3 linked regions of the Diceros bicornis minor genome follow. The protein of the gene in region 2 purifies or fractionates together with the protein of the main gene of each other region. This does not show direct contact. Links are inferred from orthologs where the notes say so. Each region holds a gene or a part of one and is shown on either strand. Other genes may lie near its edges.

Region 1 (7,227 bases), on a different chromosome or scaffold from region 2:
GGAAAGCCTACTGAGGGCAGGATCCACGTCTCGTGCACTGCCCAGAGCTCATATGGACCAAGCACTCAGGCACTGCCTGTAACCCTGTGGCAGTGAGAACACAGAGAGGGGAGGCAAGTGACTTTAGGGGCCCAGAGGAGGCTGGAAAAAGCAAGCCTCCAGTCACTGTCCCCTGCCAGCAGAGAGCCCTGCGAGTCACTGTCCCCTGGGAGCCACTCTTGTCCAACATAATTCCTCATCAGAAGCAGGCCTCCTCCTGCTGCAACTGTGCCTACAGGGAACCGCTAGGCCCCCTGGCAACCCTAGGCCTCTTCCTGTGCCAGCCAAGTCCTGAGCATGGCCCAAACCGCACAGCCCCCTAGAGGCAGCAGGGACAAGGTCAGGAGCATAGGTCCAGAGCCCAGCAGTTCTGGTTCAAATTCAGGCTGCACGGGCAAGTTACTTCGCGTCTCTGTGCCTCAGCTTCCTCACCTGTAACACAGGAATAAGCAGTGGCCTCTTCCTCGGAGGGTTCAGTGCAGCTGATGCCTGAAAAGCTCTGTGACAATGCTCCCCACTCCACCCCCACCTTCGCAAAAAGCAAACCCCCAAAGGCCTGGTTTCCAAAGCAACAGCCGTTTCAGGGCAGCACTGATGGAGAGGCACTTCAGGTCAATCCTGGAACAGCCAGGAATGGCCCTCAGGGTGGGCCCCAGGGATTTCTGCCTTCTCAGAAAACAGCTCAAGTGTTGAGGGGCCTCCCTCCCCCTCCCCAACTCTCAGGCCAGCCAGGTCCCCAGGGATTGCCAGAGAGCAGACTGCTGGGAGCCCACTGTCCCTCCCAACCAGAGGGACTCACAAGGAAGATGTGAAGAATGTACATCCTGGGAAATGCCCCCACCCGGCAAAAAAAAAAAAAGATCCCCCCCCCCTTAGATGGGCTGTCAACAAGTCAGGAGTGGTATCATGACAGTCACACGACGGGGAGGGCTGGAAAGCTGGAACAAGGGCTTTGCAGGGCTTCTTTGGCTCTCAGTTACTCTCAGGGAAATTAGGGAAGCCTTCTCTCTGGGAGACAGAAAGCTGCCAGCTCAGGTCCCTCTCAGCTTTAGAGAGAAAGGCTGCTTTGAGGTAACCCTACCCTAGACACGGTTCAGCCAGGCCCAGTGGAGCCTCTGGCCTGAGGAGCAGACCCAGGGACATGGCAAGTGGGCAGACAGACAGACAGTAACACAGGAACCCAGAGTTCTCAGCCCCCTAGACTCCTGCCCCACAGGGCTAGCTGCTACTCTAGGCCCAAGGCTCCAGACTGGAGGGAGGGCCAAAGACAGTTTGTCTATGGCAAAGTGGAGCTCCAGAACCTGCCACCCTCTGGCTGTCCACCCCACAGGTGCACCCCCACACCACTTCTCTGCCCCAGAGGCAGCCTCCAAATCCAGGCATCACAGGGCCAGCCCCAGCTTGTCCTCTGCTTTGTGGTTGGGAGCATACCCCCAGCCTTTAGGGGCCTCGTTTCTCATCCATTCCTCAATCCCCATTCTCAGCCTGTTCAAGGATTTTCTGAGCCAGGAACTCCACAACCTTCCACCCTCCCCAACCCCAGCCCAGGGCTTAGTCCAGGCTTAAGGACTCAGTCCAGCAGAAACAGTGTCCAGCCTCTCATTAAAGCTCAAGCTTGTAAAAAGAGCACCCACTGAGGCCAAGCTGACCTGCTGACTCCAGACCTTGACACGGGGCTGGCACATAGTGGGGGCCCGCAAACTAGAAGAAAGCTTAGAAAAGCAAGGCCAGAGGTCAGGTGTGGTTGTGGTAGCTTTACATCAACTCAGTCTGGATGTGACTCCATTTCCTCCTCCGCCCAGCATGCCAGAAGTGCAAAGATAAGTATGCGTGTTCTCCCTCTCACAAGTGGATAGATCAGGGGTGACCTGGGTAAGGGATCCCCACCATCCTACACTCTCCTGTCTCCCCAAGAAGTGTTGCCCTGCCTGCCCAGCATCCCTTCCCCACAACCCCCCAACAGCCCCAGCTAGAGGGTGCTTAGACCCCTCTAGCCTCTACGGGCCTGCCCCACCCAGGCCCCGCCCTGGGCCTGTCACCTGGAGGCCCCAAGAAGTAGAGGCCAGGCCAGGTGTAGGGGGTGACAGCTGCCCCTGACCTTCTTAGCTCCCAGGGCAGAGAAATGCCCTGCCCCCACTTCCCAATGCCAAGATTCAAGAAGAAAGGCAACCTAAGGCCTCCCTTCTCAGTCCAACAGGGCTCCTGCTCACCAACAGGAACAGTGGTCCAGAACCTAAATTGAACCCCTCATGGTGCGTGACAAAGCGGAGGTGCTGGCCAAGCCCCTAGAGGTAGCAGGGATCGCGGTGTAGGACCCTGTATCCTCTCCCGCCTCCATCCCCGCGGGTGTGGCGTTCCCATCCCCGCCCCATTCTCATCTTCTGAAGGGACTGATGGCGGCTGGACGTGTCTCCCCCCATCACACTCATCCTGGACTTCGAGGCAGCGGCTCTGTCCCTCAGAGATAATCCTGCGCCCTCCCCACCCTCACCTCTGCTGACGCAGGAATCTTGGGAGGCCGCACTCCCCGACATCACCGCTCTCCTCCCTGAGGGTGCCGAGGCACGCGAGGCTCAGAGAGGCTACTCGTCCAAGCTCACACAGAGAGGTGGTGACAATAAGGGGGGTGCTGACGGCGCTGACCCCATTACGCCCCCGCCCTCACTGTGTCACACGTGCCCCCGACAGCGCGCCGCGGAAAACACCCCGGCTCCACCAGCTAACCGTCACCCGTGACCCCGGGGCCTGACATCTCCCCAGCTCAGGTACCACGGAGCCCTCCTGGGCCGGGCCCCGACAGCGGAGCCCCGCCCCGGCCCGTTGGAGTCTCAGGCACCGACTGCCTAGGACAGCGGCTCGGCCGGGAGGGGATCTCAGGGAGCCGGGTGGAACCGGGAGGTGGCTGGAGGAGGAGCAGTCTCACCGTGCGGGGAGCACTCGGCGGCCGGGACGGGCAAACACAACAGCGGCGGCTACGGCGGTCGCGGCGGCTACGGCGGTCGCGGCGGCAGCGGGGGCTCAACGCCGAGCTCCAGGAGGGACCCCCGCGCCGCCGCCGCCCTCCTCACGGGCACGCCCCTGCCTCCACCCATTGGTCGATCGAAGGGGTGGGGCGAGGAGGCTTCGGACCAATAAGTGGGCGCTAGAGAACCTCCAACGGGCGTTGCGCCACTGCGTCACGTGCAGGGGGCTTTGCGGCTGCGCCGTGCGAGCCCACGCCTGCCCGGGCGAGTTCTCGCGATGAAGACAGCCGGGCCGCCCGTCTTGGCCAGGGGCCAGCATGGGGCAGAAGGGAGAGAGGGAAGGGAGGAGTGTCTCGAATTGGCCCCGCCCGCCTCCCACCTGCAGCTGTGGAGTTTGCACTTCCCGCCTCGGCGCCAACTTGGAAGGGGCCGTCCCCTGGGCTCTGTTCCCTCGAGCGGCTGTAACGCAGGGCTCAGGGCTAGGTGGGGCATATGAGGTTGCCTTTCTCCTTAGGCTTCCAGGCCTGCATCGGCAATCGATACGGGCATCGCTAGGTCCTTTCCATCCTTCCCGCTCTGCGACCGCCGGGTTTCGGCCTCTTCCCCTTCCACCCCATGCCCCTGCCTCGGAGGAAACGCTCCCGCGCGGACCTGAGACGCTTCCTGGGAGCCCAGCGGCCGGGATAAGTATCAGAAAAAAGAAGGCACGCGGGTTGGGGGCTTGAGAGAACCTATGCCGGCGCCCCTGGGGACCGCAGCCTCTGCTCCCGGTCTCCATGGAGGCGGTCGCCATGGCAGCGGGATGCGCCTAGCTAAGCGCCGCCGGGTGGGATGTGCGCACAGGCGCACGGCTTGAGAGCGAGAGGCGTGGCCCTCAGGTCTTTAGGTGCCCTTGAACAACACCCCCTCCACCCCTCATTTCGCTGCCCCTAAAGTGCCCGCGAGGAACCGTCCGGAGCACGCGGCTCCCTCCTTCCAACGTAACCAGGGGAGAAAGGGCATGCCGCGGCTGAGGGCCAGCTTTCTTTTAGAAGGACCAGGTCGCTCTTTGGGGAGCCCCCAAGGCTCCTACCCTCCGCTGGATCCTTGTGGCCCCTAACCTATCTTCTGGTCTCTGGTCTGCACGCTGTTGGCAAATTAGTCTTCCTGAGCTATTGTTTCCACCGCGTCTTCCTCTGCTCCAACACGCTCCCTGCTCTGGGACTGTCTCCAGCAGAGCTTCACAAACTTTTTAGCAGAATTTTGGGTGATTCGTGCACACTCTGGCATTTGAGATGCTGCCCTCTAGCGCGGGCATTGAGAGAGTTCCACATTCTGATCCCAGCCAGGTGGTTTCTTACTACCCAACCCCACCGTTCCATGCGCCTCACTATGGCTCCCCCCCAATTGTATTCCCATGTCTGTTCTATTCTTCAGGGTCTGAAGTTGGCAGACACTGGGCCCAAAGCAGGCTGCTGATGTATTTTGTTTAGTTCACATGAAGCTTTTTAAAATTCTAATTATTCTTCCTCTTCTCCCTCTTCTTCCTCTTTCTTCTCTTCCTCTTCTTTTGAAATATCAGGAGATCTAACAACATGGACTCACATTCCAACCTGTCACCAAAAGCTGGCACATCAATATGCCCCACCAATCCCTATTTTGTCACATTTTTTTTACCTTCTGGGTCTGTGCAGACATTTGATTTCATGATACCCTCCTTATGCTACCTTCCCACCTGGAATGCCCTTCCCACTCTCCTCTTATGGGCAAAACTCACGCTCCCTTGGAGACCAGGTTAAGGCCTGCCTTTTTTACATCTTTTTAGCCAACTTCTCAAACCCATCCCTAGTGTAGGCTCTTTCAAACACACAGACTAGCTGCTAACTGTGCACTGCCTGGGGCTATTTCCTAATTGTCAACTCCTTTCAACAAATATTTACTAAGTGTATATAATGAGCAAGTTACTGTGCTAGGCCCTGAAGTTAAAGGCACTCACAGCTGAGAGTGGGAGGTGTACCACACAAAAAGAACTGTGGTCTCCTGTGTCTGCCTAACACTCCTCGCACTCCCAGGCACTGGGCAATCTGGCTGACTGGCCAACTGGGAGGACCTGTAATACAGAGCTCCCCATGCCTGGGGATACTACAGGCTCCCGGGAAAAGCCCCAAGGCCACAGTAAGTGCCGATGGTTCCCAAAAACCTCCCAGAGGAAATGAAACTCTTCAAACCAGGAAGAAGTCAGAGTAGAAGGTAGATGGCTCCCCCATCACGGCCCAGTGGGCCTGTGTACCAAAGAGAAGGTGTGCCAACATCAAAGTGGTCCCCAGGCCCTGGGACTTCCTGTGCAAAGGGCCTTACCAGAGGCAGACAACTGTTTGAGGGAAGTCACAGGCTCCCTGGAGATGAGGGCAGTATGGGAAGGAATTAGGAGCAAATCCAGGTTAGGGAAACAGGTTAAGCACATGTAAAACATCCACTCCAGCTCCAAACACATGATATTCCAGATTCTATTCTTTTTAATAAAAATTAAACAACTGTAACCTCATTGGAAAACTGCTTGGAAGTATCTAATAAAGCTGATAAATGCCAACTCTATGACCCAGCAATTCCACTCTTAGTTATACCAAAAGACATGTATACAAATATTCATTGCAGCACCATTTGTAATAGCCCCAAACTGGAAACAACCCAAGCATCCACCAATGTTAGAATGAATAAATAAATTGCACTATATTCATCAGTGGTATATTATACAGCAATGACAAAGAACAACCTACTGAATACATGCAACAATATGGATGATTCTCACAGACAATATTGAGCAAAAGAAGCCTGACACAAAAATAGTATATACTGTATTGTATATTCTAGTACAAGTCTTGGTAAATATATGTCTGCATTTCTCTTGAGTATATATTGAGGAATGGAATTGAGGGAACATAGTTGTGGTGGCTTTATAATGTGTCAACTTAGCTATGGTAAACTATATTTCCCAGAATTCTCTTCCATGTATGTTTCCAGTTAGGGTGGGCCACAACAGACACTTTTGCATGAGCTATGGAGGGTGGAAGAAAAGCAGTGGCTGTATTGGCTTTTACACTCGCAAGGTCTAGACAGGAGCTTTGTAGCCCGTGCACTTTGTTGCTGATCTGCTGCTCACCTCACTGATATGGGGTAGCAGCCAGGCCTGAAACTGCTCCACCTTTCCCTGGATCCTCCTTCAGCTTCTGTGACTCCTGGGGCCAGATAACAAAGGGCACCAGCTTTTCCTGCAGGACACTGACATCATCAAGTTTGCAGGCAGTGGGAACTGACATAAGGTCCCTTTTGTCCTCAAGGGTTCCAGCTTATCCTTGCGGATTCCAGCTTGTCCTTTCTCTCCTACACTTTATATCCATCTTCCCTTCCCAGCCGCCTGACCTGTGAACTTTAAGCTCCAGCATCAGATGCAAAAACGACAGACTTACAGAGACTGTTGAACAGTTACCTGAAGTCAAATCCCTGTAACAAATCCTTTCTGCTTCTCTGATTGAACTCTAACTGATACAATAGCATAGGCATAGGTTTGATTTTGTATGAAACCGCCAAACTGTTTTCTGAAATGGTTGTACTCACTTACACTCCCATCAGCAGAGTATGAGAGTTCTTGTTGCTTCACATCCTCATCAGCATAAAAATTAGCAATTAATTTTGTAAAAACACAACACTGTGGAAACCAAAGCAGGGCAGCAGGCCACCAGTCTTCAGCCTCTGCTCTGAGCCGTGCCCTTGTGGAGGACGATTTCACAATATCAAGAATACAAATGAGTGTATTCTTTGACCTAACAATCCCAGTTCTGGAATTTATCATGCAGATATACTTGCACACAATACTGAATTAGGAATGTATGAGGTTATTCATTGTTGTATTGTTATTAACAAAAGTTTAGAAACAACTCAAATGTCCTTCAATAGAGGACTGATTAAATAAATTTGGTAGAGACAATAGAATTTTAGATGGCTTTAAAAACAGAAGAAGTTTTCGACGGACTGATATGAAAAAATCTTGTATTAGTTGAGGTTCTCCAGAGAAACAGAACCAATGAGATGTATATAGATATAGATGATATAGATATAGATATAGATACAGATACAGATATAGATGATATAGAGATTGATTTATTATAAGGAAGTAGCTCATGCGATTATGGAGTTATGGAGGCTGGCAAATTTCAAGATCTGTAGGATGAGTCAGCAAGCTGGAGAG
Region 2 (7,692 bases):
ACCCTCAGCACACCCTGGCACACAGACTCAGACCCAGGATTGGCAGTAGCAGGCAAGGCAGAGCAGAGCTGGCGTGCTTTCTTTGCAGACACCGCGCACCCCAAGGCTCCCAGCCCTGGGCACCCTCCCACCCGCCCGGCCGCCCACTCACCCTCGCTGAGGAAGGCGTCCCAGACACGCAGAACGGTGGGGAAGGGCAGGGAGCGGGCGAAGAGGCACAGGAACCACTCGGGCAGGTAGAGCAGGGGCCCGACGCCCACCTGCTGCAGGTGCTTGTGCACACGTGGGAGCAGCCGCCGCAACAGGGCCGTGAACACCTCAGCGTCCAGCTGCACGGCCTCCTGCGGCCAGTCCGTCAGCACCTCCACTCCCAAACCTCAGGCTCTGTCCCCTCTGTCCCGGGCCCCCACCCGCCTTCCCAGCCCCTCCTCCTGTACCCTTGGTCCCATCCCAGCCTCTCACCATGTGAGGCCCATAGTAGCCGGGGAGGTAGACCTCGCAGATCTGTACCAGGCACCAGAAGGCCTCCTGGGGGCAGGGCACAGGCTGTGAGTGCCCACACGAGGGGACTGCAGGGCAAGGGAAAGGGGCAGAGGGGAGGGCCTAGACACCATCTGGGGTGACTCTGGAGCCAGGAGCATGGACTTACTGCAGGGGGGGCTCTTACCAAATGCCTCCCCCGTGCCCAGACAGAGGCCTACCGATGGGTTTAAGGGGTTGGAAATCACAGGGCTCAGGGTGTTGAATTTGAGGGTCACAGGGTTGGGGTTCACTGGTCAAGGGTTGGGAGGGTCTCAAAGTTCAAATCCTGGCTCCTGGGGTTATTAGGGTCAGGGATCACAGGGTTCAGAATCGGGAGTCACGAGGTGAAGGTGATAATGCCAGACTCCTAGATCACTGGGGTAAGGGTAGGGGTCAAGGGTCCCAGGTTCCTGGAGTCAAGGTGGTTGGGCTTGAAGAACACTGAGGTTGGTGGTCATGAGGCCCCAGGTCACTGGGACAGGATCTGGGAGTCAAGGATCCCAGGTCCCTGAGGCCAGAGTTCCTGGGGTTGGAGGTCATGGGCCCAGGGCACAGGATTACAGGGTCCCCAGGTCCCTAGGATTGGGGATCAAGGGTCTTAGCTCCCTGAAGTCAGAGTCCCTGGGGTTGGGGGTCATGGATCACTGGGTCCCACTGGGGCTGAGGGTTCAGTGTCTCAGGTCTCTGGAGCAGGGTCAAGGGCACTCACCTCCGGGGGCAGATGCATGAGCAGCACAGCCGCCACAGGGCCCTGGGCCTGGCAGTAGCCCTGTTCAGGCCGATACAGGGTGTAGGCCTTGAGCACTTGCAGGAGCCCCTGCTGCCTGTGCCAGAAGACCCATTTGGGGCCAGTCCTCTGGGCAGCCCTTCCCACCCTCTGGCGGCCTCTGCCCAGGCCTCAGCCCCCTGCGCCTTGCTGGGTCCCCTGAGATGCAAGGCTATAAAGGGGTGGGGGACTAGGCCGACGTGCCTGGGGGTTGTGGGGCTGGGGGTCCCTGAGCATCACTGGCTTCGTACCCGTGACCCTGGGGTGACACAAACATCTCGTGCAGAGGGAACTGGCGGTGCAAGTCCCTGCCTATGGTCTCCATCCACTGTGGGTCTCCAGGGGCCTCAGCCAGTTCCTGTGGGTGGGCAGGAAGATGAGTGTGAGGGCTCAGAGCGGCGAGGGGCTCTGGGAAGGGGAGGCAGGACCCCTGCCACCCCCCTTACCTGATAGGTGCCAGGGCTGTTCTTCTGACACACATGGGCCCCACACAACAGGGGCCAGCAGCGGGCCCGCAGGGCTGAGGGGATGCCTTTCCGGCACTGCATCTTTACCTGTGGGTGAGGCCAAGGGGCCCCATTAGGCCAGCCAGGCCAGCCTCACCGGGCCGTGTTGGCAGGCCCCAAGCACAACTTGTCATTGGGCAGGGGCCCACTTTGGGTGGTAGGGAGAAAAGGCAGGAGGTGCTGGGACACAGGATGGGTAAATTTTGCTGGGGCAGGGGCCGAGGCAAAGGGGAATGAGCCGAGGAGGCCTGCGTGGGGCCACTCTCCCCTCACCTTCTTGTATCGCCGAGACATGGTTTTCTCCCAGTGTGAGGTCATCTCCACCCACTTCATTTCCCGCTGGCGGATAAGGTCTGCAGGAGGGTGACTTGGTCTGGGGGCACATGGTACAGGCATCCAGGTGCTGGGTAGCTGTTACCTAGAGCCCATATCTGCCACCCTCTATGGTACTTGGGTTAGCCCAGGTCCTGGCCCTGGAGATCTCTGGGGACCCCTGCAGGGTGATCTGTCACCCAAGAGTTGCCAGTAGTTGTCATGGGGACAGGAAAGAAAGTGGCTCCCATGTGGGCAGAAACAGGAAAGACTGAAGGGGGTGTGTAGGTGTGTGTTGGGGGAGGGGCTGGTTGGCTGTCCCGCATGATAGGGACACAGACAACTCACAGGGGAAGCTGGGTGGACAGAGCCCCGGACTAGAAGCCAGAAGCCCCGAGTTTGAGTCTGGTTCTGGCTCTGATCTGCTGTGTGACCTTGGGCAAGTTCCTGTCTGTCTCTGGACTTGTTTTCCTGTCTGTATATTGGGAAAGGGTGAGGGTGGGAGAAGAGGTTCTATGATTTGGATCTGGGATTCCTGGGCCAGAGATTAAAAGGGGAAGGGTCAGCCCTAAGGGTGGGTGCACACCCTCAGAGGCTGGCGGTAAAAGAGATATACAGGGACACCCTACCCACAGTATACAGGGACACCCTACCCACAGTCCTGCCACCCTTGGGATTCCACCTGGAGCCTGAGGAGGGGTGGCACTGGCTAAGTTCCTAGATCCTTCCAGGACCCTTGAGGTTGGGCCTCACTCTAGAATTCAGCCCTCAGCCCTCATCCTCAATCCCAGCACCCCAGCACCCCATTCCTGCCCCACTTACCCTGGCTCTGCCGAGCTGCCCCCGATGAAGCCATAGCGGTCAGCCTGGCGGTATGGGCCGGGCCCACTCAGCTCTGAGTCAGACCCCAAAGAACTGGAGTCATCCTGCAGCTCGCAAGGCTGCACCAGGTCCTCCCCCAGGGCCTGGGCCATGGTGCCCCCGGATGCCACAGGCTGCAAGACGTGGGGAGAGCCAGTGTGAGAGGTAGCTCCCAGCCAGCCTGGGGCCTGGGCTCCCATCCAGCCAGGTCCCAGCCCCAGGGCCTGGCTGCAGCATCAGAGGGGGGAGATTTCAGGGTATTTCACCAAGCCCCCTCTGTCCCCTCTTCTGTTGCGGGGGGCTGGGCCCTAAAGTGGCAGAAAGTCCAGGCCTCTGTACAGGAAATAGCCCCAGGCCCAGCCCCTGTCCTCACCAGCCCAGCTTACCTCCCGGTAGCACCTCACCTCCTCCTCTCACTTCCTCCTCAGCCACAGCTTCAGCAACCCACTGGGGGGCCCCTCCCAAGGGTGTAGAGGGGGTGTCACCCCTTCCTCTCCGAGGCTCTTCCGGCCTGCCCCAGTGCCCCTGGGCCATGGGCTCCTCCCACCCTCCCCATGGGCTGGGTGGCTGCAGGCTTGGGTTTCTGTGCTGCGTGTGATGGGGCCAAGGCCTGCAAGAGGCAGAGAGACCAGGCCACCTCCACTTTTGAGGTTACTGCCATGTAAAACACTCAAATCAGGGTTCCAATAAGAATTATGGTTTTGGGGCCGGTCCTGTGGCGTAGCGGTTAAGTCCGCGCACTCCACTCCGGCGGCCGGGGTTCGCAGGTTAGGATCAGGGCGTGCACCCACACACTGCTTGTCAAGCCATGCTGTGGTGGCGTCCCATATAAAGTAGAGAAAGATGGGCACGGATGTTAGTGTTAGCCCAGGGCCAATCTTCCTCAGCAAAAACAGGAGGATTGGTATTGGATGTTAGCTCAGGGCTGATCTTCCTCACACAAAAAAAGAATTATGGTTTCTTTAATGTTTATTCTTTACGAAGTAATACTTTTAACACACACACAATGCAGCATCATTATGCTACTCAGAAGGCAATGATGGGACTTATAAAAAGTAATAATTAGTGTGCACCACAGGCAGTGTGGACCAAAATGGGCTCGCAGTGCTGCGGCAGCTGCCTGGGTCTGCTCAGCGCCTGGGGGCCAAAGAGACTCACGAGGTAGAGGTCCTCGGTGAATGCGAGGCCCCGGTCTTGGACCAGCCCCTCGCTATATCTGAAGCTGTTTCCTTTTCTGCACTTCGAGGACTTAATCTGCAGCGTTCGGGGAGACCGTTATCATTGTGCTCACACCGCCCCCTCGCCCAGAGTAGGGGTGGGAAGGACTGTTTAGCTTTTGAAAGATAAAAACAACTTCCACAGTACTTCCGGCCCCATATCCTCTCTAGGGGCCTGGGTGATCCTCAGGGGCGGAGCCAGACTCCACCCTGCCCCACAAGGCCCCGCCCACCTACCAGGCCCCGCCCCAGAGACGCCGAGCCCGGCCCAAGCCCCGCCCACAGCCGAGGCCCCGCCTCCCGGGCTGCTGCGCTTGGCGTCCTGCGGAGGCGCTAGAGCGCTGGGGCAGCGGGCGGGGCGGGGCGGGGCGGGGCGGGGCGGGGCCTCGGTCATAGGACGGGCGGGGCGGGCGGCCGAGGAGGCGGGGCGGCGGGCCGGGGCGGGCCGGGATGGCGGAAGGAGCTCCAGGCCGGAAGGAGGCAGCGGGAGGGCGGGAGGCAGGAGCTGGCCCGGAGCTGCTGGGCCGGAGCGGCGGCGCCGCCATGTCCGACAGCGAGAAGCTCAACCTGGACTCTATCATCGGGCGCCTGCTGGAAGGTTGGCCGGGGCGGGGGAGGTCGGCGCCCGCCGCGCCCTGGCCCCCTGCCCGGCCCGGAAGTGGCGCGCGGGCGGGCCTGCCGCTCCCAGGGCCAGCTTAGACTGGGCGGGGACGGGCCGCGAGGGCCGCGGCCGCCCCCCCACTGGCGACGCGCCTAGGAGGTCTGGGGCCGCTCCGGCACGGGGAGCAGCCCCCTCTTCTGGGCCAGGGGCGCACGGGGTGGCTGGGGCTCTTGGGGCGAGGGTGAAACGTGAGAAGCCCAGCCCCCCAGGGAGGGGTCCTGCGCTATGGGGTTTGGGTGGCAGGCCCCTGCGCACAGCAGCCCCCTCGAGTGACTTGAGGGTAGTTGGGGTCCCGTCCCGGGAGGCTCAGCAGCAACAGCTGCCCCTGGGCAAGGAGGGGCCTGGGAGCCTCCAGAAGTGCTCCTGGGGCCACCCGTGTCGCCCACCCTCCTCCTGCCTGAGGGGCCAGGGTCCTGACGCCCCATTCCGCCCCCAGTGCAGGGCTCACGACCTGGAAAGAATGTACAGCTGACGGAGAACGAGATCCGTGGTCTGTGCCTCAAATCCCGGGAGATTTTCCTGAGCCAGCCAATTCTTCTGGAGCTGGAGGCGCCCCTCAAGATCTGTGGTGAGCCCCGTGCCCAGGCTCCTTTGCTTCCTGCAAGTGGCATTGGCCCCTAGAGTCCCTGGATCCCTTTTCTTGAGCCCAACCCTGGCCCTGGATTCAAGTCTCTACCCTGCACCTAGTGCTGACCCCGGTTCCCTGGGTCACAGGTGACATCCACGGCCAGTACTACGACCTTCTGCGGCTGTTCGAGTATGGTGGCTTCCCTCCAGAGAGCAACTACCTCTTCCTGGGGGACTATGTGGACCGGGGCAAGCAGTCTTTGGAGACCATCTGCCTGCTGCTGGCCTATAAGATCAAGTACCCCGAGAACTTCTTCCTGCTCCGTGGGAACCACGAGTGTGCCAGCATCAACCGCATCTATGGCTTCTATGATGAGTGTGAGTGGGCTGGGTGTCTGGGGCTGCCCAAGTCCTGAAGAGCTCTCCCCGCTATCCAGTGGGGCCCTCACATTGTCCTGGTGGTAGGGATATCAGTGTCTGACAGACACCTGCTGGACTGCGAGCTCCGTGAAGGCAGGGCCCTGCCCTCCTGGCCTGGGGCCTGGCACTCGGGAGGGGTCTGGTGAATGGTTGCTGACTGAAGAGCTGACCATATTTTCATGCAGGGCCCTGCCTGCTAACACTCCCTCCGGCACATCCGTTACTTAAGCACATAGGATGCCTATCTGGACTGGACTCTGTGGGCCAGAAGCTGAGATAAACCAGACCTGGTCTTGGCCTGGCCCTGCTCCTGCTCACGGGGTGGGTGCCAAACCTGAGGTTGTTCCAGATTGGAACTCTAGGTTCCTGTGCACTCAGCTGCTTTAGAATTCCTCTTAGAAGGCTGGTAGGCAGTGGGGTGGGGTTGGAGGTTTCCCTTCTTGCCTTCCACTCTCTTCTCCCAGCTGTGTCTGAACAGCCCACGAAGTGCCTGGGAGGGCCCAGAGACCCAGGCTGAGGGTCAGGCAGACAGGCCTCCTCATGAGCCATCTCCTTACTCTGGGCAGGCAAGAGGCGCTACAACATTAAACTGTGGAAAACCTTCACCGACTGCTTCAACTGCCTGCCCATCGCTGCCATTGTGGATGAGAAGATCTTCTGCTGCCATGGAGGTGAGGGCGGCTCTGGGGTACCTGCTGAGGGAATGCTTGGGGAGGAGGAGCCTGGCCACATCCCTGGGGGCCTTGGGATGAAGAGAGTGCCTGGAACAGGTCTCCCTGGCGTCTGGGCTCGCATATCCCTTCTTCCAGGAAGTCCCCCTGCACCCCAGTGTTAGGCCGCACTCGCTCCCCTGTTGTGGCCTCAGCATCCAGCATGGAATTCACTTGTCTCCTTTCTCCAGGGAGCTGTGTGCTCCCTGAGGGCAGGGACTTGAAGAGGCAGGTGATGAGTTCTGCCTGCCTGGGCTCCCAGGAGACAGCCAGGTGGTACGGGGGAGGCAGAGGCTGACTGCACATGCTGTCTGGAGGAGGGGGTCCTTGTTTTGAGGCTTATTTGAGGAAGCGTCCTATGCTCTGCACCCCCCAGGCCTGTCCCCCGACCTGCAGTCGATGGAGCAGATCCGGCGTATCATGCGGCCCACGGATGTGCCTGACCAGGGGCTGCTCTGTGACCTGCTGTGGTCCGACCCTGACAAGGACGTGCAAGGCTGGGGCGAGAACGACCGTGGTGTCTCCTTTACATTCGGGGCTGAGGTGGTGGCCAAGTTCCTGCACAAGCACGATCTGGACCTCATCTGCCGGGCGCATCAGGTGGGCTGGCAGCTCTGGGCCGGTGGGAACGGGGCCTGGGCAGCCAGCACCTGCTGAACTAACCGCCCCCATCCTCCTCCAGGTGGTAGAAGATGGCTATGAGTTCTTTGCCAAGCGGCAGCTGGTGACACTTTTCTCAGCTCCCAACTACTGTGGCGAGTTTGACAACGCAGGCGCCATGATGAGTGTGGACGAGACGCTCATGTGCTCCTTCCAGGTGGGGCTGGGGAGGAAGGGGCTGGTGGTCCCTGGCGTGGCCCCGTGAGCTGACCAGCTTTGTCTCTCTTAGATCCTCAAGCCCGCCGACAAGAACAAGGGGAAATACGGGCAGTTCAGTAGCCTGAACCCTGGAGGCCGGCCCATCACCCCACCCCGCAACTCCGCCAAAGCCAAGAAATAGCCTCGGTGTGCCCGCCCTCTGCCCCAGATGGTGGATTGTACAGAAATCACACAGCCGTGGGGCGTCACACTGGCTCCCCAGGCCTACCCATTATGGGGAACGCGGAGCCTTGGTGTATTTTTCTTTTTTTTAATGAATCAATAGCAGCGT
Region 3 (7,975 bases), on a different chromosome or scaffold from region 2:
TTCTAGGTATCGTATTCATATTGTTGGAAGAACATCTCAAGGCCACGCACAACTTTAAGAGACAAACCTAAACAATAACAACCCCATCTGTAACTGAAATTTGTGATGACGCTGAATTTTTATTTCGCCCCAAAGCAAAGCTTTGCCACCACAAAATCTACAGCAGTCCTGTTCCAAGTATGCGTGGGACTTGGAGGGGCATGGATTCTGCAAGAAACCCTACACCTCAACCCTCCCACCCCGCAGTGGGGTGGAAACCCTCAGGTGGAGCCCAGTCCCCCAGTCCTGCACCACTCACTGCTGCAGATGAAACACTGGGCCAGACAGGGGCCACGTCTCCCAGTCCAAAACACGACAGAACTTCCTGCAGATTACGCTATGACACTCAAGCACTTCAGTGCCCTGCAGAGAATCACTCTGGCCAAGTGTCACTATGACACAGCTGAAAACCAGAACCCTTTCCTTTCCCAGGCCCAGGACTGCAGCAATCCCCTCCTCTGTGTTGTACTTGGGGAAACTGGGGCCCAGAAATCTGGCCCTCCCAAAGCTCCCAAGAAGGCAAGGCTGGAGAGGCTGGGACTGGGACCTCACTCCCCAGACCCTGAAACCCCAACAAATTAAACCACCTAACTTTTGAGCTACCCAGACTGGCCTTAAGGAGCCTGTGGTGGGAGGTGGGGTGGATACAGAGTTACAAAGAGAAACCAGAGTTGCAGCGGTAGATTGCTAATCAGTAACAAAATACCCCTCTCAGCCCAGTCCTGCCCTGAACTCACAAGCTGGGAGGGTATTAGGAAAAACTGTGCTGGCCTAGCATCCCACCTCCACCAGCCCAGTGCCCACCGCAGCCCCCACTCCAGGGCACCTGCAGAGGCCACTTGGCCACCAAACCAAAGACCCAGCGTCTCTCCCCTGCTCAGGCTGTCACCTGGGGAAGCACAGTCATTTAAGGCCTAGATACATTTTCTCTGAACGAGGAAAGGCTTTAAAAGAGCCAGAAAGGGCTGTTTAATCTCCACCTCCAGCAGCAATTGCCACCAGAACTGGGAGCCAAGCCACCAAAAATGTGGAAGAACAGGGAGGCAGGAGAGGAGCGAGGCAGCGGGGAGGAGAGGGACTGACTGAGGGCTGGGCATGATAGCCGGCTGCTCTGCTCCACAGACCAAGCTGGGGGCCCTCTGCACTGGGCCCAACAGTCTCAGGCATGGAAGACAGTACCTGGGCTTTCCTAAGGCCAAAGGTCCTCCCACTGACCACCGTGGCACTTCCTATAAGGCGACCAACAGTTTACAAATCCCTTCAGGGGCTTTATCTCCACCTCAAATCCCCAAGGCAGGAACCATCATTTCCATTCTACAGATAAGCAAACTGAGGCAGGCAGAGAAGAAAAGCCAAGATCCATTCCAAGCACATATCCCCCTGGAAAGTCCCCAAGCCTCGGTTGAGAAAGTTCCCTCCACCCTGAGCAGTGCAGGACTCATAGCAAACCAGGAAGCCTCTTAGCCCTGGTCCTCTGACCCAGCTGCCTCCCCTTCTCAACCCGGCTGCCTGTGCTCCTTCCCATCACTGCAGACAGGGCCGGGGAAGCCCAGGTGGCATTCCAGCCACGGCACACACTGGCCGCTGCTCAGATTTGGGGGCCGCCTGTTGCTCCAAATTACAGGGAAATTCTTGCGCTCAGAGGACCTTTCATGTTTTTCCATGAAGAACTTCCCGCTCCCAGACAAGGATCTCCAAGGCTGGAATGAAGTGCCCCCAGCCAGCCCTGCGGTGCTGGACACTGATAATGACAACTCCACAGAAGAGAAACTTTTCTGGGGTCTGGCAGGTCCCATGCGGGCTGCAGATTAGGAGCTGGGCAGGGACACGCCTCCACCACTTGACCAGAAAAACACCACCCAAAGCCCCACTGTGGGTGGCCGCGGCATCTCCCTGCCCAGGGTTCCGATGCCAGCTGGAGAAGGGGTCTGGAGTGGCGGCCGCCCCCGGAGGAAGAGGCTGTGGCCCCGAGACCCGCGCGGCCCGGCCCGTGCTGTCCTTACCGTGCAGGCCGTTGGGGATGCTTCGGTGGTGCGGCGGTGCCGACAGGTCGTCCAGGGACCTGCGCGTGGCTACAGCCTTGCCGTCGGGGGCCTTGTGCGGCCCGGGGGGCAGCAGCGGGGGCGGGACGTGGTGGTGGTGGTCCGGGCTGCCGCCGCTGCCCGCGCTCGACGTGCTGCTGCCGTCGCCCACGTCGCGGGTCCCCGCGCCCGCCGCGCCGCCCGCCAGCGGCCCGCTCAGGCTGGCCTGGCTGTCGATGGAGCTGCGGGAGCCCGCGCCACCGCCGCCCCCCGCGCCGCCCGCGCCCCCCGCCAGCGCCGCGCGCTCCTCGTCCAGCAGCAGCACCAGCTCCTTGAGCTCTAGGTTCTCGCGCAGCAGGGCCTCCTGGCGCGCCTCGAGTTCGCGCAGCTTCTGCTGCGAGCGGGCCACCTCGTGCCACACGGCGCCGGCCGCGTGGCGCCCGAAGCGCTGCCACTCGCGCGCGAGCTTGCGCCCCTTCTGCCGGTCGTCGTCGAGGAAGCAGCAGAGCTCCCGCAGCTCCTGGTTGTCGTCCTGCAGGCGCTGGTTCACGTCCTTGAGGCCGCGGATCTCCAGCAGGTGCTGCTGCAGCCGCCGGTTCACGTCGCGCATCAGGCCGCCGTGCTCCAGCATGAGGCCCACCTTCTCGCCCTCGGCGCGCCGCAGCCGCCGCGCCAGCTCCTCCTTGCTCCAGCGCAGCAGCTCCTCGTCCGGCACCTGGCTCAGCTCCTCCGACGCCGCCGTCGCCGCCGGGGGTTTAGCCATGGCGGGGCCGTCACCGCGGCATCGCCCGCGCCCTCGCCCGGCCGGCGCTCCCCGCGCCGGTGCTGCGCTGGGCCGGTCCGCGCGCGGGCGGGGGGCGGCCGGGGGCGCGTGCAGCCCTCCCTGCGCTGCCTCGCGCGCCCACACGCAGCGCCCGCCCGGGCGGCCCGGGAACCCGCGCGTCTTGGGGCTCGGCGAGCGGGGACCGCAGCTGCGTCGGCGGCCGCCGCGCCGGGTGCTCTCCGGGCTGAAGCGAAGCAGGCGGAGGCCCGCCCCCCGCCCAGCTCCCGGAGCCCCGGCCGCCCCGCCCACTCCGGGCGGGGAGGGGCGGGGCGCCGCGGCCCGGGCCCGCCTCCGGGGGAGCGAGCGGGTGTAGAGGCGCCACAAGCCCCCGACGTCCCCCGGCTCCGTGCGCCCGCCCGCTCGGCGCCCTGCCAGAGGCGCGTTCGAGCCGCGGTCCCGCCCTCCTGCCCGTCCGATTGGGCCTCTCCGGGGGTGTGTGGGAGGGGCGGGGCGCGCGCAGGGGACGCCGCCGAGATGGTACAGTCCACCCCTGGGCTTCCAACCCCCCTCCCGGCGGTTCAAGTTTCTGCGCCCGGAGGACGCGGCCTTGGCCAATCCCAGGGCTACAGGGAGCTTTTAAAATGCAGGTACGGCTTCGGGGAGGGGGAAGGTGGGAAAGGTGGGGCAGGGCTTCCCTTAAAGGAGACGCGCGGAAATGGGCGCCGAGCCCCTTCCCCGGCCCGCGTACCCCGCCCGCCCTGCCCCGCCCCAGATAGACAAATACTGTACCCACGGTCCGGAGGACAGCTCCCCTTCTCCCTCCCGGGGACACCAGAGTCCAGCATAGTCTGAGATACGAGGAACAATAGGACTCTGACACAGGGGTCGCTCTCCCCGGCGGCAGGGCAGCTCTTTGTCCCCTTCTCTGCCCCCGGCTCCTCCGCCCCCACCTCCACCCTCGTCCCCTGCCGGAGCGCGCAGAGAGGCTGCGGTTCTACTCCAGACCGGGGCTGTGGCTCCGGCGTCTGCGCACGGGGAGAGCCAGGGCCTCGCCAACCGTGTCCCGAGCGCGGTCCGTACCCTCTTCTCAGCCCGGAGGGGGCCAGGGCGCCGGGAGCTTGCCCTAGCCCGGAGCGGCGTTCAGAGCACCGCTCCCCCGCCAACTGGACCACTCGTCCCGGGAATTCGGGGGAGAATCTGTGATTCGCGAGGTGGAGACCGACCACTGGGGAGGGTGGAGCAAAGTCTCCTACTGGGGTCTTAACGCCAGGGTCGGGGGGCGCCGAGCCGCACAGAACCCCTTCACCACCGGCAGCCTCGCCCGGCACGCGAGTCTTCCCACAGCCTGAGTCTGTCTCGTTATCCGCGCGTCCCCGAAGCGCGTTTACGACGCGTCTGCCGCGAGCCGGGCGGTGGGGGGCGTCCCTCCCCCGGTATCCCCAACGAGATAAAACCCGCGCGCTCGACCGTGAGCGGCCACAGCCTGGAGCGCGCGCCCGCGCCGCGGCTGGTGTCCTGATTTACAGCAGCTCAACCATTCGCTCGACAACTGTGTACCCAGTGCTTGCTCTAAGCCAGGCCTGTGCTAGACCCCTGGGGGGCTCTGCAGGGGACGACAACAAAGGCCACTGCCCTCTGGGGGGACTTTGCACTCTAGGGGAAGGAGGGGAGAGAAGATAATAAACAAATTAGATAACTGAGACTGTCGTAAGTGCCGGATAGGGGATTAAGACAAGCTGCTGTCACAGAAAGTGATGATCAGTTACTTTAGATCCCGTGGTCAGGGAGGTCCTCTGAGGAGGGGCATCTAAGCTGAGATCTGAGTGACAGGAAGGACAAAGATAAAGGGGAAGGGCAGTCCGGCGGATGGAACAGCTAGTGCCGAGGCCCTAGTGGCCTCTTCCAGGGAGGCCAGTGGGGCTGGGAGTGGGCCAAGGAAGAGAGATGAGAGATGAGCTCAGAGGGACAGGTTATGCATGATTGGAAGGCAGCTGGGAGAGCAGTGGGGGGTTAGCAGGAAGCAACATGACCTGATGTGCCTTTTAAGAGGCTCACTGTGGCCTGTATGTGGAGAAGGGGTGGGGGGGTGCAGAGAGGGGCAGATTTGGTACCTCATTCCCCACCTGTCCGCCCCTCTCTCCAGGTGGATGGTCAGGAGAGGGGGATGGGGAGACGATGAGCCAGAGGGGCATGGCTTTGAGGGTCAAGCCCAGGGGTGCTGAGGGTCCCCCAGACATGGCCCAGGTGAGCCAGCTCCTGGCTCCTGGGTGGAGGGGCATCCTCCTCACCGGGGCTCTGTGCTCCGCAGGCCGAGCCCAGCGCAGCCTGAGTTTGGGTTTGGAGAGGGAAGGGGTTTCAGCTCACACTTGGGGAGGCTGCAGGTCTTTCCTAACCCAGGAAGCCAGATTAAATAGCTCCCTGGAGGCTCCCCACAGAGCAAAGCCTCTGCAGAGAGCTGCTCCTGGGAGAGGGAGGGATGAGCATAGGATACTGTGGCTCGCTAGGAAAGTCACTGAGACGTTAACACTGTGCTTGTGGCCCCTCCCCATTTGTTGTGGCCCCAAGTGGTTCCTGTGGCCTGCAGCTCCGTCTCCTGATCCTCCAGGGCTAGCAGCTTCAGCTGAACTTTCCAAGAGAAAAACAAAGCCTCCATCCAGGCAGGGTTTGTTTTGCATCGTCTACAGGCAGTGGGACCGAGAGTGCCCCGGCCAGGACCCACGAGAGCACCTCTGACACCCCCCTGGTGCAGCAGACAAGGTGCTGGGACGAGGCTACCCTGTGGCTTGAGGGAGACTCTGCTCTCTGCACCCTGGCTGGACAGGCTTGGGCAGATCAGAATAGGACAGCGGGAGGGTGGGTGGGCCCAGAGCTGAGACAGGGGCCTGAAGCAAGAGGGACCGTCCAAGCCAGACCCCCTCCCTAAGGGCCCTCGTCCCCCAGGTCCAGCAAGAGGTGCTAAGCCCCCTAGAACTCTCACCATCCCACAGACGCTGTAGCTGAGCCAGGACCCGATATGTCAAGCGTCTGCTTTTTCAGCTCCGTGGTCATGATAAGCTTTGCTTTGTCGTGAAGACAGTAAAACCAAATCGTGGATCTCTAACAGTAGTTCTCTAGCTGCCCAGTGAAAGTAGCTGTGGGTCTTTTAAAAAATGAAGATGCACCACCACTCCTCAATATTTTTCTTTAGGATCTCCTGGGCTGTGTATCTCCATTTAAAGCTGCACAAATGTTTTTGAGAGCCAGCTGGGAGAGAGCCAGTATACTAACCCATAGTAGACAAAATATTCCAGAACGCCGGGTCTGTGAGACTGGGAAATGATAACAGCATACTGGTGGTAGGCAGACTGTCTTCCCACTGGGAGGGGAGGGCTGTCTTATTCTCCTCTGTGCCTGGACCCTGAGCACAGACCGCAGAGCAGGCATCATTTGATGTTTGCTGAGTGAATGAGCGACCCTTTGGCAAGTGACCAATGGAGTCAGCCCCTCGTTTTGAAGATGAGGAAACTGAGCTCCGGAAGGGAAATGACTTGCCTCAGGTCACTTTCATTCATTGGTTTACTGAACACACAAGCATAATTAGATAAGTATTTATACATAAATGCATCTATATGTGCAACCATATATGCACTGTAAATGCTTTGTGTAGGTACCACAACAGAGATGAGCAGAATGCATCATTATGGGAGCATCCTGAGGCGCTGGGAGCAGCTTCCTGGAAGAGGTAACTCCCGAGGTGAATCTTGAAGAGCAAGTAGGAGTTTATCAGATTGAGGAGAAGAGAGGAGATGGCTGGGATACACCAGGTGGAGCGAACAACACAAGCCAAGGCCCAAAGGTGAACCACAGTGAGGTGTGTGTGTAGATACAGCCATGCCTTATTGCTGGAACATACTGCAGAGGCACTGAACAGCAGCGAAAAGTCACAGAGCAGTCAGGTAACGGAGCTGGGCTGAGGAGGGCTTTGTGAGCCACGGGAGGAAGGGTGGCCCCTCCATGGGGCTGATAGTTATCAGCAGGAACAACAAGAATAATAATAACCATCACCTCCTACAACTTACCCAGCACACAGTATGCACCAGGACTCTAACCCAGCCCTCTTGTGATGATCATAACGACCCTATGAGACGGTGTCGTGAGCCCTTCTGAGACGGTGTCGTGAGCCCTTCTAGGATTTAACATGGATGCCCGTTGGCTTGGCTGTTTGTCTCCACGAAGCTCAGGTCACCGAGTGTGAACTTATGGGCAGTTTTCGGAGGTTGGTGGACACCCAAGGACTCTGGTGTGGCCAGTGGAGGGTTGTGTGGTGGCTGAATGTTTCTGCGAGTCAGTGAGGCGATGGCAGCTGACCAGGTCTGGGGCCAAGCTCTGCGATTTCTTCCTTGACGACCCCCCCGGGGAGGGGAAGTCACCATGCATGGCTGAAAGGCTATGATGCGGCAAGAAATCAGGGCCCATGCAAAAGCGACCATGATTATTGTTAACAAAGAGTAGTGTCAAGGGAGCACTTTCTGTGTACCCGGCACGTGCTAGGGCTTTACGTGGGTTGTCTCGTGCAATCCTTACCGCAGCCCTGTGAGGGGGGAACACTCTAGCCCGTTTTATAGAGGGGGAAACTGAGGCTCACGCAGGTCAAGTCACTTGTCTGAGGTCACAAGCGAATGAACTGGGATTTGAACCCAGGACCATCTGAGCCCAAGAGTGCACTTTACCCTATAAACTACTCCTTCTCAAAGAGGAGGAGTGGACCAGCTGCTCTGCGATGTCCCTCCCGCTGTGCGTCTAGTTCTATGATGCTGGGGGCCTGCACTGTGCCAGGACCACGTGCATCACCCCACTTCCTCCTGCTATAGGGCTCTCACGTTGTATCCGAGCCAGAGACTCCCCAAGCCGCTGGACAGCCAGGCGTGGCTGCAGCTTCCCAGCTATTCCTGCGGGCAGATCACTGCAGGTTGTTGGCTCTATCTCCCAGCTCCTCTGTCGCTGACTTGCTGGGTGACCTCAGGCCAGTCCCTACCCTCTCTGAGCCACAATTTTCTCATCTAAGCCCTCACCCACAGGGCCAGTGTCAAGTACCTAGCAGAGCTCTTGCAAAGCTCTGGAGGATCGAGCCACGCCCCCTCTCCCTGCACATTCTCCCCATCCTCTGGACCAT

The links. The genes of interacting proteins can lie anywhere in the genome.
Region 1: the proteins of PPP1CA (region 2) and ADISSP purify together in Homo sapiens (affinity purification with mass spectrometry; 4 studies listed by BioGRID and IntAct, counting the BioPlex papers as one, with this or other methods). This does not show direct contact. The link is inferred for Diceros bicornis minor from reciprocal best matches to the Homo sapiens genes PPP1CA and ADISSP.
Region 3: the proteins of PPP1CA (region 2) and CCDC85C purify together in Homo sapiens (affinity purification with mass spectrometry; 4 studies listed by BioGRID and IntAct, counting the BioPlex papers as one, with this or other methods). This does not show direct contact. The link is inferred for Diceros bicornis minor from reciprocal best matches to the Homo sapiens genes PPP1CA and CCDC85C.

The regions. Positions count from the first base shown.
Region 1 is NC_080758.1:32,165,013-32,172,239, forward strand, and holds the start of ADISSP (adipose-secreted signaling protein), read right to left. Parts: upstream 3,072-7,227; 5' UTR 2,963-3,071; intron 1-2,962. UniProt on the Homo sapiens protein: Adipocyte-secreted protein (adipokine) that acts as a key regulator for white adipose tissue (WAT) thermogenesis and glucose homeostasis at least in part through activation of protein kinase A (PKA).
Region 2 is NC_080770.1:6,127,307-6,134,998, forward strand, and holds the start of PPP1CA (serine/threonine-protein phosphatase PP1-alpha catalytic subunit), read left to right. Parts: upstream 1-4,658; 5' UTR 4,659-4,727; coding exon 4,728-4,782; intron 4,783-5,281; coding exon 5,282-5,413; intron 5,414-5,559; coding exon 5,560-5,790; intron 5,791-6,398; coding exon 6,399-6,503; intron 6,504-6,918; coding exon 6,919-7,142; intron 7,143-7,224; coding exon 7,225-7,359; intron 7,360-7,431; coding exon 7,432-7,542; 3' UTR 7,543-7,692. Other genes in the region: TBC1D10C (carabin), read right to left, coding at 152-341, 463-528, 1,232-1,346, 1,540-1,646, 1,735-1,842, 2,068-2,167, 2,929-3,167. UniProt on the Homo sapiens protein: Protein phosphatase that associates with over 200 regulatory proteins to form highly specific holoenzymes which dephosphorylate hundreds of biological targets.
Region 3 is NC_080763.1:44,739,469-44,747,443, forward strand, and holds the start of CCDC85C (coiled-coil domain-containing protein 85C), read right to left. Parts: upstream 3,072-7,975; 5' UTR 2,824-3,071; coding exon 2,043-2,823; intron 1-2,042. UniProt on the Homo sapiens protein: May play a role in cell-cell adhesion and epithelium development through its interaction with proteins of the beta-catenin family. May play an important role in cortical development, especially in the maintenance of radial glia.